Elephas maximus indicus: one gene and its partner. The protein of the gene in region 2 binds, or shares a complex with, the protein of the main gene of each other region. Links are inferred from orthologs where the notes say so. Each region holds a gene or a part of one and is shown on either strand. Other genes may lie near its edges.

What was found. The genes of interacting proteins can lie anywhere in the genome.
Region 1: the proteins of NGFR (region 2) and ARHGDIA are in contact, whole or in part, in an NMR structure (PDB 8X8T), measured with the Homo sapiens proteins. The link is inferred for Elephas maximus indicus from reciprocal best matches to the Homo sapiens genes NGFR and ARHGDIA. Residues at the interface, in NP_002498.1 of Homo sapiens: Arg274, Trp275, Ser277, Cys278, Lys279, Gln280, Lys282, Gln283, Gly284, Ala285, Ser287, Arg288, Pro289, Val290, Asn291, Gln292, Thr293, Pro294, Pro295, Pro296, Glu299, Lys300, Leu301, Ile307, Ser308, Val309, Gln312, Ser313, Asp316, Gln317; in NP_001172006.1 of Homo sapiens: Ala8, Glu9, Leu11, Ala12, Gln13, Ile14, Ala15, Ala16, Glu17, Asn18, Glu19, Glu20, Asp21, Glu22, Val25, Pro30, Ala31, Gln32, Lys33, Ile35, Gln36, Glu37, Ile38, Gln39, Glu40, Leu41, Asp42, Lys43, Asp44, Asp45.

What each region holds. Positions count from the first base shown.
Region 1 is NC_064837.1:71,666,384-71,673,466, forward strand, and holds the start of ARHGDIA (rho GDP-dissociation inhibitor 1), read right to left. Parts: upstream 3,004-7,083; 5' UTR 2,896-3,003; intron 1,331-2,895; 5' UTR 1,310-1,330; coding exon 1,120-1,309; intron 915-1,119; coding exon 831-914; intron 576-830; coding exon 499-575; intron 419-498; coding exon 355-418; intron 232-354; coding exon 32-231; 3' UTR 1-31. UniProt on the Homo sapiens protein: Controls Rho proteins homeostasis. Regulates the GDP/GTP exchange reaction of the Rho proteins by inhibiting the dissociation of GDP from them, and the subsequent binding of GTP to them.
Region 2 is NC_064837.1:44,082,818-44,090,042, reverse strand, and holds the start of NGFR (tumor necrosis factor receptor superfamily member 16), read left to right. Parts: upstream 1-4,223; 5' UTR 4,224-4,329; coding exon 4,330-4,395; intron 4,396-7,225. UniProt on the Homo sapiens protein: Low affinity receptor which can bind to NGF, BDNF, NTF3, and NTF4. Forms a heterodimeric receptor with SORCS2 that binds the precursor forms of NGF, BDNF and NTF3 with high affinity, and has much lower affinity for mature NGF and BDNF.

The sequences.
Region 1 (7,083 bases), about 28 Mb from region 2:
TGTCCCTCCCTGTCTTCCTCCCAGCCAGGGCTCAGTCCTTCCAGTCCTTTTTGATGGTGAGGTTCCACTCCCAAGACAGGTGGTCTGTCTTGTCGTCATCCGTGAAGTGGGACTTGACAGTGTAGCTGCCCCGTGCCAGCATGCCCTTGGGTGCCTCCTCCATGGGGGTCAGAAACTCATACTCCTCTGCCCGTGGCCCGTAGCTGCCCACCATGTAGTCGGTCTTGTCAACTGCAGCCACAGGGACCCCCCCATCAGTGCTGCCCCACCTCCTTCCACCCCCTCCCACCCCACCTGTGCCGGGGTGGCTGTCTGGGGGAGGGCAAGGCACAGAAGAAACACAGGTGCACTCACTCTTAATGCCTTTCCTGTAGGTGTGCTGGATGTACTTCATGCCAGACACAATTTCTCTGTTCACCTGGGGACAGCAGCCGGTCAGCCCCTCAGCCAGCCCGGCCCTCCCTGCAGCCCCGTACCGGCAGCCCCCACCCTCCTTACCCGGAAAGAGATTTTTATCCGGTATTCCACGCCTTCCTTAAGTACGAACGACTGCTTCTTGAAGCTCTCCAGGTCTCCTGCGGACAGAGACTCTCAGAGAAGTCTGTGGTTCATCCTATACACCTCAGACCTGCATCAGCCTAGTCCCTCCATGCCAGCACATGGACACACATGCCCCGGTGCAGGCACCCCAACTCTTCAGGCTGTTCCGGGGCCAAAACCCTTCAAAGGCCACCTGGTTGCAGCTGATGTTCCCCACCACAGGGCACCAATGCTCAGGGAAAGCAACAGGGTGCCACCGGCCCCACCCAGGAATCCTGGCTGCCACGCACCTGTCAGGTCCAGTTCCAGGGGGCCTGGGGCGGTGCTGCACACCAGGGTCAGCCGTGTCACGATGACATTGGGGACGTTGGGGTCTGGGGATGGACAGAAAATCAGCGCCCCAGTCCTTGGTAACCCACGAGGGGGGCGGGACGCAGGGGAAGCAGTGGCCTCACCAGCAGAAATGGCTGCGTGGCCCAGCAGGACCTCCTTGTACTTGGTAACCCACCAGAGCAGGACAGGGGGGCAGCAGATAAAACTCAGAGGAAAGGCTGCCTGGGGGAACAGTGGGGTCCTCACCGGCAGACACGGCCACGCGGCCCAGCAGGGCCTCCTTGTACTTGCGCAGACTCTCATCGTCCTTGTCCAGCTCCTGGATCTCCTGGATGCTCTTCTGGGCCGGTGGCTTGTAGTTAACCGAGTGCTCGTCCTCCTCATTCTCAGCTGCAATCTGTGCCAGCTGCTCAGCGGTGGGCTCCTGCTCAGCCATGCTCACTCACCTCTGGGATGCCTGGGGGTCGGCAGGAGCTGTGGCAGCCTGGAGGAAAGCCTGTGCCCCCTGGGACCCTGCCACTAAAGAAGCCAGCCCTCCAGCCCCCTGCAGGCCACTCCTAAAGGAGGAAAACAGGAAGGGGGCTCCTGCTGCAGCCAACGTGTGCCTGAGGAACAGAGAGTGCCCAAGGAACAGCTTTCTGCAACTCAGAAAGAACCCACATGTATCCCAGGCCTGCCCACCTCAGGGGAGTCATGCTGGGGGGGGAGGGGGCGTGGGCAGTGCAAGGCACCACGCAGACAAGGCACCCAGGACTGAATGGGCACCACTGCCCTGCTCCCTCAGGGACCCAAGGGAAGGGGGTGAGGCTGGGGCACCTCATGACCTAGCTACTCCCAGAGCCACCCGGCAGGGCCTGAGTGGATCACCTCTAAAGACTCGGGATATTGCTGCCCAAGCCCGCTGCCATGACCCCCACCGGTCAGTGAGCTCAGCCTCCCTGTAAGGGCCACTCCTCTGACCCAGACCCTACCCCCCATAATGAAACCTTTAAGCAGAACACAGGCTCCGACTCAACCTGCTAACATCAAGCTCTTCTGGAGCTCAGCTCCACAGGGGCCTCCGCGGGACACGAGGCCAGCCCCAAGTTTCTGCCAAGGTTCCCTCCAACTGTGTGAGTTTGTGACCAAGAGTCCCCAGAAAAGTCACACGGGGCTTTCCCGCTAGGGACCCACATTCTGCTCCCACTGGAATTCTCCAACCGGGATTCCCCAACGTTTGCTGAAAACCCGCTCAATCGTTTCAAGCTCTCAGGCTTTTCCGGGAAAAGTAACCAACCCCAGAAACAGGCCTACTTCAAAACTGGGATGCACGTAGTGGCCCCAGGGTTGGGCCTCGGAGCCGCCGCAGGCCCTCCCTCGCCTCCCGCTCGCTGCCCCCCAGGATTCCTCTAGGATTTCTTGAAAGGCGCGGGCCCGGGGCGCAGCAGGGTGGCCTCAGGGCAGCTCTGCCTCGAGAGCGCGCGCCCCGCCGCCAGCACTTCCGTGCGGCCCTGCAATCTGGGCGGGCGAGGCCCGGCGGGGCGCGGCGGGGCGGGGCTGCCGCGGTGCACGAAGACCCGCGCGCCCCACCGCTGGCGCGCCCCGAGGGTCCACAGGCCCCGGGCTCTGCCAGCCGCCTCACGTGCCGGATGCGGGGCGCATCAGGCTCGGGTGCAGGCAGGTGGGTGCGCATCGGCGGGGCCGGGCAGCCAGCCGGATGGCCACAGCGAGGCCCCTCCCCGCCTCAGGCGCTTCCTCCCTGGCTCCGCGCCGCCTCCGCCCCGGACGGCACGTGCGGCCGCCGCCAGCCCGGGGTCCGCGCCCTCCGCTCCCCGGCCACCGCGCGGGCCAGGCCCGATTGTCACCGCCGCGCGCAGCGCCGTCCTCGCGCCCGGATCCCGCCGGGATCCCCAGGCCGGGCCGCAGGGCGGGGCAGGGCGGGGCTGCGGAAACAAAGCCGGCGGCGCGCGCCCCTCACCCGCCCGCGCGGCCCCATCTCGTCCCGTCCACCGCCCCGCCACCCCGCCGCCCGCGGGCACTCACCGGAGGGTTCGACCGCGCGGCCTTTCGCTCCCTCCCGCACGAAGTGACGAACGTCGCGGCGACCCACCCGCCTGCCAGCCCGTTTGTCACTTCCGGGGTCACGCGACTTCCGCTCCCAGGCGGGCTGGGCCACACCCGGGGCGCATGCGCGGGCAGGGCCGGGTCGGAGAGCGCATGCGCAAGGCGCGGGCGTGCGGGTGGCGGCCAGGAGCGCGTCGCCGCCATCTTGGGCTGGGGCTTTGCGGGGCGGTCCCGCGTGGGCGGGCGGAGGGGCTGGGCCGGAGACCGGATGCGGCTTTGTGTTTTCTTCTTTGCTTCTGATATCTGGGTGCTGTGACTCTCTTGGTTGCTTAAGCACCTCGGGGTACGGCCTCTCGGCCGCCGCGCCCTCCTTCACTTTTTGTAACGAGATGTGCAGAGACGGTGTGACCGAGCTCATGTCCACCGCCCAGACTGAGCAGCTTTGTCGATTATATTGATCTATTAACTGAACGTTTTGATACAGCTTGCTTTTAACCTGGAAGCATTTAAAATCACAGGTCATGTTATCGCCCTTCCAGGCAATTAACACGCATCTTTAAAATAAGCGTGTCCCTTCACGTACACACGGTTGCAGCATCACACTGAACCCAAAAGCCCGCCATCCACCCCAAATGTTTCTCCCAGAGGGTCGCCCTAACTGGCCTTTTGTCCTCCAACTCGGACCGTCCGCATCGCATTGCTCCTCTTGGTGCCACCTGGCAATGTCCCGTGTCCTGAGGCTTCCTACGAGCTTAAGTGAGCACTCAGCATTGGGTTAGGTTCTGAGGGAACGCTGGGGAGACGGTTCCCAGGCGTCTGGTCAGGTCCCTGCGTGTGGGCCACAGTGTCCCCACTGCCCTGCCCTGTATACTGCTCGTGCTGATGAGCAAGGCCGTGGATACCAGCATCTTCTGGAAACCACCCACACCTAGCCAAGGGCCTGAACCTTTGCTGACTGTCCACACCTTGCAGAGGCCCGAGGCTTCTCCTCTGCCAGTCTCTCCTTTCAGCCCCTTCAGGGCCGACTTCGAATCACAGGGTTCTTCAAGCCCAGCACACTGTCTTCTTCGCTGGGGGATCACTTCAGAGGCATCCCATTACCGAGCAATTCCATGATTGTCAAGTGAAGGAAGTTCCTGGCACTGATGCTCCGCCTCACCTACACCACAGGCCCTGACTCCCTCACCACATCCCAACGCTGGGTGCTGGGTCTCTTTCACTTATTGGTGTCCAAGGCTGGAAGGGCATATATTCTAAATGTGGTTGTTGTTAGGTGCCCTTGAGTTGATTTCTACTCATATCGACCTCATGTGACAGAGTAGAACTGCCCCAAAGAATTTTCTTGGCTATGTACAATCTTTATGGAGCAGATCACCAGGTCTTTTCTCCCAGTCTGTGAGTGGGTTGGAGCTCCCAACCTTGCAGTTAGCTGCTGAGTGCTTAATGGTTGCACCACCAGGGCTCCTGTCTTAGTTATATAATGCTGCAAGTAGACTAGAAGTCCAAATCCAGAGCACCACTTCCAGGGGAAGGCTTTCTCTGTCGGTTCTGGGGGAAGGTCCTTGTCATCAATCTTTCCCTGGTTTAGGAGCTTCTCAGCACAGGGGCCCCAAGTCAAAGGACGCACTCTGCTCCTGACGCTTCTTGCTTGATGGTACTGAAGCCCCTCTCTTCTCTGCTTGCTTCTCTCCTTTATATCTCAAAAGAGATGAACTCAAGATACAACGTAATCCTGTAGACTGTGTCCTGCCTCATTAACATCATACCCAACCCAGTGCCGTTGAGTCGATTCCAACTCATAAATCAACATCATAGACGTTAGGATTTACAATACATAGGATAACTACATCAGATCACAAAATGGAGGGCAACTGCGCAGTACTGGGAATCATGACACATATTTTGGGGGGACATAATTCAATCCGTAACAGCTTCTTTACATTCTGGATACAAGTCCATTGACTTTATGATTGCAGATATTTTCTGTAGCTTTTTTAAAATTATTTTTTGTTGAGAATATACACAGCAGAACATATACCAATTCAACAGTTTCTACATGTACAAATTCAGTGACATTGATTACATTCTAGTTGTGCAACCATTCTCACTTTTTTCTGAGCTGTTCCTCCTCCATTAACATAAACTCATTGCCCCCTGAGCTTCTTATCTAATCTTTCAAGTTGCTGTCATCAATTTGATCCCATAGATTAATCTTAAAAAAGCACAATGCTCAAGGCAAATGTTCTTTACTAGCTATTGTTTGGTTTTAAGATGACTTTAGGGGATATTTTTGTTTTAAGGTTTAGATAATCTCAGGGCAATCATTTCAGGGTTCATCTAGCCTCCATGGCTCCAGAAAGATTTGGATTCCATGAAAATTTGAAATTCTTCTGCATTTCCCCGCTTTAGACCAGAATTCTTCTATAGAATCATTGATTAAAATGTTCAGTAATGGCAGCAGGATACCATCCAGTTCTGGTCTCATAGCAAAGGAGGCAGTTGTTCATGGAGGCAATAAGCCGCACATTCCATTTCCTCCTTTCATTTCTGACTCTTCTTCCTGTTGCTCCAGGGGAATAGAGACCAATTGTTGAGCCTTGGATGTTTGCAAGCCTTTAAGACCCCAGGCATCGAACTAGGAGGTTGAACAGAAGCACTAAACACATTATTAGGACAGTTAACTGGGATGTTCCATGAAACCATGACTCTAAACCTCCAAATTAAGGAACCCAATTCCATGAGGTGTTCGACAGTACATAAGCAGCCTCGGCAGCTTTTTTTTTTTTTTGGTCATTGTAAATGTATCTACTACACTTTTACCAATTCAGCTTTTTACAGGTGTACAACTTATTGACAGCAACTACATAAATCTACTGTGCAACCCTACCCTTCATGAGATTTTTCTATCACCATAAACTGAAACTCAGTACAGGTAGTCCCCAACATCATTGAGTTACCATTTTTTTTTTTTAAATACATCTTATCCTTAGCAATAGGTATTACATACAATGTTGCAATGTGTACTTTGCTGACGTTATCATGCTCAGATGTTCACTCACAGATGTTCAATGTTGTAATTTGCTGTTCACAAAACTGCTGTACAGCAGGCTATGAAAACTAAAAAAAAAAAAAAAGTATTCAACTTATGTCAGAACAGACTCTTACAATGGCATTATCGGACCAGAACCCCAACCTAAGCTGGGGACTCCATAAGCAATAATTGTCTTTCATTGTCTTAATGGTGTCTTTTGAAGGGAAAATTTTTATTTTCATGAAGTCCAAATCGTCAACTTCTTCCTTCATGTTTCTTTCTTTTGGTGTCATTGCTAAGAACTCTTTTGCCTAACCTAAGGTCGTGAAGATTTTTCCCTGTATTTTCTTCTTTTATAGTTTCAGCTGTGGCATTTAGGTCTACAATCCATTTTTTTGGTTAATTTTTGTATTTGTATATGGTGTGAAGTCAGTGTTTCATCTTTGTCCCATCACCATTTGTTGAAAAGACTATAATTTCCTCCACTGAACTGTCTTGCCACTGGTGTTGAAAATTTATTCACTGTAGACATAAGGGTTTATTTCTGAACTCTCAGTTCTGCTCCATTTAGTCCACATCCTTATTCAATATCAAAACATCACGATGACTATAGCTCTATCATAAGTTTTGAAATTAGGTAGTGTAAGTTTCTAACTTCATTCTTTCCAAAATTGTTTTACCTATCCTAGGTCCAGTGATTTTCCATATAAATTTCTTAAAATCAGCTATTAATTTCTCAAAATAAAATCCCAGTGGGAATTTGATAGGGATTGCACTGACTCTACAGGACAATTTGGTAAGAACTGCTATCTTAACAATATTGAGTCTTCCAGTCAACGAACAATTCTGTGCATTTGTTTGGGTCTTCTTTAATTCAGCAGTATTTTGTAGTTTTCAGCATATACAGGTCTGGCACTTTTGTTAAATTTGTTCCTCAGTATTTTATTCATTTTGATACTGTTGTGAGTGGCATTATTTACTTAATTTCATTTTTTTGACCATTGTCTGCTCAGATATACAACTGATTTTTGTATATTGACGTTATTATTCTTGTGACCTTGCTAAACTTGTTTGCTAGTTCCAGTAGTTTCTTGTGTGGATTCCTCAGGATTTTCTACACGAAGACTCATGTCATC
Region 2 (7,225 bases):
ACTTGGGGCGCAGGGGAGATGATGCTCCCCAAATCAGGAAAAGCGTGAGCTCACTAATAGAGCTCAGGAACCATGCCTTTAATCAAAAGGCAAAGATCACTCCCTTGGCTCGCCTCTGTCCCTGCTACCTGGGCCCCAAATCCAGACCCTGTGAATGCGTGTTGGAAGTGGTGATCCAAAGGGGCATCTGAGCCATAGTGCTGAAGGGCAGAGCTTAGCACCTCTGAGATTCTGGCCCACAGAGGTGACTGCTCGTCATCTAGCTGGGATGAAGGCTAGAGGAGCTGGGATGGTGGGAGGAATGGCCTGGAAATAGGGAGGTTAATGGCAAGAAGTGTGGCTGTGAAGGGCCTTGTGGAGTACGGTGGCCATTTATGGTATTGCTGCTTCCTGCTGGGGGCCCTCGGGCAAGTGGCTTAACCTCTTCCAACCTCAGCCTCTTCATCTGTAAAATGGTGATCCCAGTACTTCCTTTATGGAATTGCAGTGGGAATTAATGGGGATGATTGTGTAGATCTCCCGGTCCATAGGAGATCTCAATAAATGTGAGTTCTCATTCTCTGCTTGCCCATTTCTGCATGGAAGTGGGTTGTGGCTGTAGGCTGGCTCCACAATGACTCCTGCGGACAGGGGCACAGGGAGCTGTGAGTGGTGCTCCGCAGAGGGGCTGAGGTGGGGTCTCCGAATGGACGGGGAGAGCAGGAAGAGCGTGTCAGGGAGCTTGCCCTCCTGGAGGGGTATGGTAAACGTGGGGTGGTAAGATGAATAGAGGAGACATAAGCCCCCTCCCATTTTGATTACTGAAGATGCAGTTTGACCTACCAAAACTACTCCCAGCTCCATGCAGAATTGCGTTGATATTCTCAACCCTTTTGCCTTGGAGTCATGCTTAGGTCAAGAAAGCCTTGGCTTGTATGTGGTGGGGAGAGAGGCCCTCTATATATGCAGTAGGTTCTGGGGGCCCTCCAGGAAAACTGCTGCCCTCTACTACCTGTCTGATGCCACTTGCTGGTCAACTCCTCAGATCCCTCTCCCATGCCCTATTCCAAAGCTGTGGCTGCAAGTGCTGAAGAATTGTGGAAAGGGGACTAAAGAGAGAGTGTGGCTTGCCAGGCCAGGGAGAAATCCTTCAAGAGTGTTTGTGTTTGGGGCTAGGAGTCAGGACCACTAGGGAGTTAGGTCAAGCAAGCAGAGCTCCATGGGACCTCTGATATTGTTCCTAGGAATTGAGACAGACCCAAGCACCCAGAAAAAAGCCATTCTCATTAGAAACAGTAATCCCTGCTGTTTGTGGTGATGCAGATGAAGGAAGGTAGGGGTGGTGGTGGTGGCTATAGCCCTGGCATTCATGGTGGTGGTGATGATGGTGGTGGTGGTGGTGATGGTGTGGTAGTCACGGTAGTGGTTGTGATGATTGTGGTAGTGATGGTAGTGATAGTTGTGGAGGTTCTGGTAGTAATGTTGACAGTGATAGTCATAGTCATGTGGTCATGGTGGTACTGGCGTTGGTGGTTGTGGTGATGGTAGTCACAGTGCTGCTGGTGTTGGTGTAGGTGGTTGTTATGGTGACAACAGTAACGATGGTAGTCATCACAGTGATTCCTAGCAAAGGAATACCCTGATCACAGCTCTGCTGTCTACAGTATGGTCAGGCCAAGGCGTCACATTATAAAATAACCTTTCATATCAAATAACTAACACACTGGAGCATCAGCTCCATGAGGGCAGCTTCTGTTGTTCACTGCTGAGTCCCCAGTGCCCAGAACAGTATGTGACATATAGCAGGTGTTCAGTAGGTATGTGTTGAATGAAGACTAGGGGATTGAGTGCCTCCTTGTAGTGGACACTATGTTACCTCATTTAATCCTCATCATGCCCCTTCAAGATAGGATCTTTTAAATTCCCATTTTATACATGAGGAAGCTGAGACCAAGAGAGATGAAGTAACCTAAGACTACAAAGAAATCAGTGGGGACTTGGAGAGGGAACAGGCATCCATACTCAGACCAGTCTGACTCTTAGGGCAGTGCTCTTCCCTCTGCACACTTCAAGCCAACACTCAACATTACATTGTGGTCTTGTGCTGGGCTTAATCACGGGAGTACTGTTAATCATAGCAACAATTTCTGTCTATAATTGTCCGAGTAAGGCTTACATGATCAAGACCATGGAAATTATTAATAACCCAGGCCCAGCCATGGTACCGTGGGTCATATTAAGTTGTGTCGAGATGGATAACCTCGGCAATAATAGTAACTGGGATCATAGATTAATAACAGAAGTGTTTAAATTAATGCCACACTGTTGATACCTTTGGTAGTAAGCAGCTGGATGCTGCTGTTAATACTAATGGTGCCCCTTCCTGTCTTCCATGAATTCCACTGAGAGGAAAGGCAGGTCCATAAAAGCAGTGGGAGGAGGAGGCATCTTAGAGGCTGCCCCTGTCCAGGAGAGATGAATCCTCTGGGGCTGCTGAAGAGGTGCTCACACGCCCAGCCATAGAGACGGTGGCTCGTCACCAACATTATTCTCAAGATGATGTCCACTTGAGCCCTTCTGGGGCTGTCCCCCACACTTCATTGGTCATGTTGGAAAGAAATTCAGAGGGCAGATTTTTTTTTTCATAAATGAATGAATTCGTTTCAGCTGATTGAGGTCACCATGAATCAGAATCAACTCAACAGCATTTGAGTTGCTGCATTTTTGAATATAGGAAATCACTTATCAACTACTCGTTAAGTGCTCTTGATCTCCTCCTTATCCTGTAATTTGGGAGACTTCTGTCGTTTTTCCAGAGTGGAAACTGAGCTCCAGGTATGGCCAAGAAGAGGGTGCTGGGTATGGGCTTTGTAGATTAGCCCCCAACAGCTCTGTGCTCCAGGGACCTCGTGTCTGGGGACCAGGAAAGGGTGGGGCAGATGGGAGTTGAGCATCAGGTTTTGGTGCCTTTAGCACATTCCCTGGATTGGAAGGGCCTTAGATTTGGACTTACCAAGTTTCTAGGACATGGTAAGTGTGGTCCTGGGGACAGATCTGCCCCAGCACCTAGAGAGTACATGGATGGGTGAATGGAGGGAGTGTGAGTATTTATGAATCCCTCTAATCACTTATCCATTTATTTCATTCTATAGAACTTTATTGAACAGCTATTGTGCACTGGGCATTCAAACAAGAAGCCATAGTCCCTGCCTGCCAGGAGATTATGATCTAATGAAAACACAGTCTAGTGAAGTCTATATTGTTGAAGATGTATTTGTGTATGAGAGTATGTGTTCAGGAATCTGTGTTCACACATGTGTTAGAGGCTGTATAGATGTGAGGGCTTGTGCGGATGTAACCATTCACCTGATGTTGTACATGTGAATGCGTCAATGTGTAGATGAGTATGTGTCTGAGTGTTATGTCCACATGGGCCAAGAGGGCGCATGTGTGCATGAATGTGGAGAAGCACATATATGTTCGTGATTCTCCATCTACCTTACGTGTCGGGCGTGCAGGTCCACAGAGATGTGTGGGTGTCTGTGAGGGCATAAGCACAGATATATGTGAGCTTCAGAGTGTGTTTCCGTGTATTCTTGTGTTTTGTGTGCATACCTGTGACCCCTTCAAATCCATCATTTGAAAATTTAAATGATGGTGGGGTGGACTCCATCCTGAATTACCCCACTGCATCCCCCTCCCCCCAGGCCACCTGCTCTCCCTCCCTTCTCCCTAGACCTTTGCACCGAGAACCCCCGCACTCGGAGGAAGAGTGGAGGGGAATGGGCCTGCAGATGAAGGGTGGGGCGGCAGTGGACACATGCTGATAACGGCTGGGTAGGGAGCAAGGTACCAGCGAGAAGCTGAAGCCAGAGGCGGAGGAAGAAGGGTAAGAGAGTGAACCCTGCGGCGGTCCACAGCCGGAGAGCAACGCGAGCCGCAGTGGGGACGCCCTGGCCCCTGGGCCCACAGCATCCGGGCCGGATGCGCAGCAGCGCGGGCCAGACACCGGGTACCAGGGTGATGTGGGTGAGAGCCTCCTAGGGCCAGGGCACAGAGAAGCGGCGGCAGGGCACGCGGGCGCGGTTGCCCGCACGCCCTCCCTTCCCCTCCACCCCCCTCCCCGAGGCAGCGGGGCGGGCGGGCGCGGTTCCGGGGGTGGGCGGGCTGGGCGAAGAGGAGGCGGGGCCGCCGCACTGGCTTCATCCAGCCCCTCCCGCCGCAGCCAGAGCGAGCGGAGCCGCGGCCAGCTCCAGCGGGCGGCCAGCGCTGGAGCGCAGCGCAGCGCAGCCCTATCGGTCTGCGGAGTGGGCTGAGCTGGAAGCTGAGAGCGGCCGCGGAAGACCGGCGATGAGGGCAGGTGCCACTGGCGGTGCCATGGACCGGCCGCGCCTACTGCTGCTGCTGCTCCTAGGGGTGAGTGCTAGCCCAAAGGGAATCCGCTTCCTTCCCTGGGATCGGAACCCCGAGGGGAGCCGGGCGCCGCGGCTCTGGAGACGACAGAGCATTGGGGTCCTAGATGCTAGGGACTCTGATGCCGGGATCCATGGAGGAGCGTCGCCAGTTCTCGGGGCGCAGACCCTAGGTTTCAGGGTAAAGATGTGGGCAAGAGGGGCGCACGGATGCCGGTCCTCAGGTACCGCGGAGAGATGCGGGGAGAGTTGGGAGGGGTCTCTAGGCAGGAGATGAGAGGCGCTCGGATGCCTGGGTTCTTCGGAAGAAGGCGCTTGAATGCTGGAATCTCGAGGGGGCTCCAGGGTCGTGGGACGGAACCAAGGCGAGAGGAGAGGGAATGGAATGGGGTTTGGACATGTGAAGGGGCGAGGGGCTGGGGTACGGAGCCGGAGACGAAGGAATGGAACAATGGGGGAGGAGGCTGGAGGGACTGGAGGCAGAGGGGACCCGGCATCGGACAATGCGGACAGGCCAGACAATGAGGGGGAGGGGCGTTGAAGGGAGAGGTTCGGGAGCGACAGGGCAGTCGAGGAGAGTATAGGTGGGTTAGGGACGGCAGAAAAGGGACGACAGCGAGGGGGTAGGGAGGTGGAAGCAAAAAAAAAAATCGGTTCGAGAAGGGAGTGTGGATCCTGAGGCTGTCGGGGGCCCCGCCTGCCCATTGAAGGACAGTGGGACGAGGAGAGAGAGAAGAGGCAGTGGCGTCGAGGAGCCCTGGGGACGGTTCCCGCGCTCTTCCTCGCGGTCTCGCCCAGTCGGGGAGTTGCGGGTAGGAAGCCGGGCTGGGAGCGGAGTGACCGCTTCGAGGGGCGAACCCGCTCCCTGGCTTCCCCAAGGCTGGCCGACTCCTCAGACGCGCGTGTGCTGGCGGTTTGAAGGAGCGCCGCGGACCCGGAGCGATGGAGCAGGCATCACTCGCTGGAGTCTGGCGGCGGCCGGGTCCTGGGATGGGGTGCAGAACGCCCGGGCGCGCAGAGCCGGCACAGTCCAGTCCGCGCGCAGCCTGGGGTCGCGCCGGCGGGAGGCGGCCCGCAGGGGGCGCTCCGGGGCTGGCCATGTACCCTCCGTAGCTGCGTCCGCGCGGAGGGCTGCGCGCCGCCCCCCACTAAGTTACGCGACCCCAGCGACTCGCCCGGTGCGCCTCAGAGGCTCGGGCTCCCACCCGCGTCCGGCTCAGCGTTCTGTGGAACGCCTGGGATTCTGTCCGGCCGTGACCAGAGGAACCGACTGGGCAAAGGACGGCAGGTCCCCCCGGTAGTTCTGACACGATTTTCAAGATGTGACCTAGTGGGTGGCCATGAACTGAGTGCTCGGGAAGGTTCGGCAATGGAGCAGGCGTCCTCACCCTCCCGGCCCTCTTCATCTCTCATCTGAGTATTGCCCCCCCAAATCCCCGTTTTACAGATAAGGAAACAGGCTTTGAGGGCTTAAACGACTGAACCAAGATCCCACAAGCAAGTTGGCGTAGAGTCGGAGCTAGACTCCTCGCAGCGCACCTGAGTCCCATCTCCGTCTCCGGCCCCGAAGGGCGCTCCAGTTCGTGACAAGAGCGGCGTGTTAGGGCGGGGGGGGGTCCCCAAAGTCAGGCCGGCGATGGAACATGGGGGCGGGGTAGCAGCCCCTCTCCGGGCGCTGGCCCCCATCCCTGGAGCTGTCAGTACCTGTGGCTTCGTCCCAGGCTTTGGGAGTGACCGAGGGCTCGTTTGCTGACTAACGTCGCCCAGCAGAACGGCCTCTCGGCCCGGAGTGGGGAGGGGAACTGGGCGGCCAGCGCTGTGCGGGTCCCGGAGGGGCGGGAAGAGAGAGTGTCCCCGGGCGGAGAAGAGGCGAGGAGGGACAGGAGCTGGACGTGGAGGGCCTGCGGGCTGGAGGAGGTGGCCCCCGCGCAGAACCTGCCGCGCGCAGCCCCGCGGCCCTCGCCTCCGCCCCGACGCCGGCGGCGGTGCCTGGGCCGGCTCTGCGCACCGCCGCGGTCCGACTTTCTTCCTGGGCCGCGGCGAGAGAGTGTTGAAACCAGAGCGCGTCCGGCCGGGTAGGCTGGCGGGCCGCGCCGGTAATGGAGGCACTTTGTCATTCAGACGTCTGTAACCGGAGCCGCCGGGCCGGCTAATGCGCCTAATAGGGATGCAGCCAGGGCAGCAAATGGGCGGCGGGAGCGGCCGGGCTGGGGGGAGGCGGCTTCCGGAGGGAAAGCCCCCCACCCAGCTGGACCAGCCCGGCCCAGCCCCGCGCCTGGCTACTTCCCGCGGGGGGGGGGGGGTGGTGCGGGGCGGGAGTGAGGAGGCGGGAATAATATGTTGCGTGCCTACAATGTGCCACACACCGTCCTGGGTACTTTCTTTCGCGTTATTTAATCCTTATAAAGTCCCAGGAGAGTAAATCTAGTTATTCCCATTTTACAGTTGAGGAAGCCGTACCTCCCAGGCTTTTAGGCACAAGACCAGCTCCCCCAGTGAGTGAGTGGTGCCACCCTTGTTGGAACCCAGGATGCTTGGCTCCAAGTCCTGTCTTTCCTCTGCGTGAAGGTGTGCCCTCCCTTACCCTCTTCTAGATCATTGAGGAATGCCTGACCCTGAATCCTTACTAGCCTAGGTTAGATGTGTGCCCCAAGCTGTCGGCACCACAAATTTGGAAACTGAGCCCCTTTGCCCTCACACAAAGCTCTTAAGTCTGCAAACAGCATCATACTAGTAACTGGCTCATGTCTCCCACCCCAAAATTCAACCTCTGAAGGGGAGGGGGGGTGCAGGTACCAGTGCCTTCCCTGGGTTTGCATGGACCTCAAAAGACC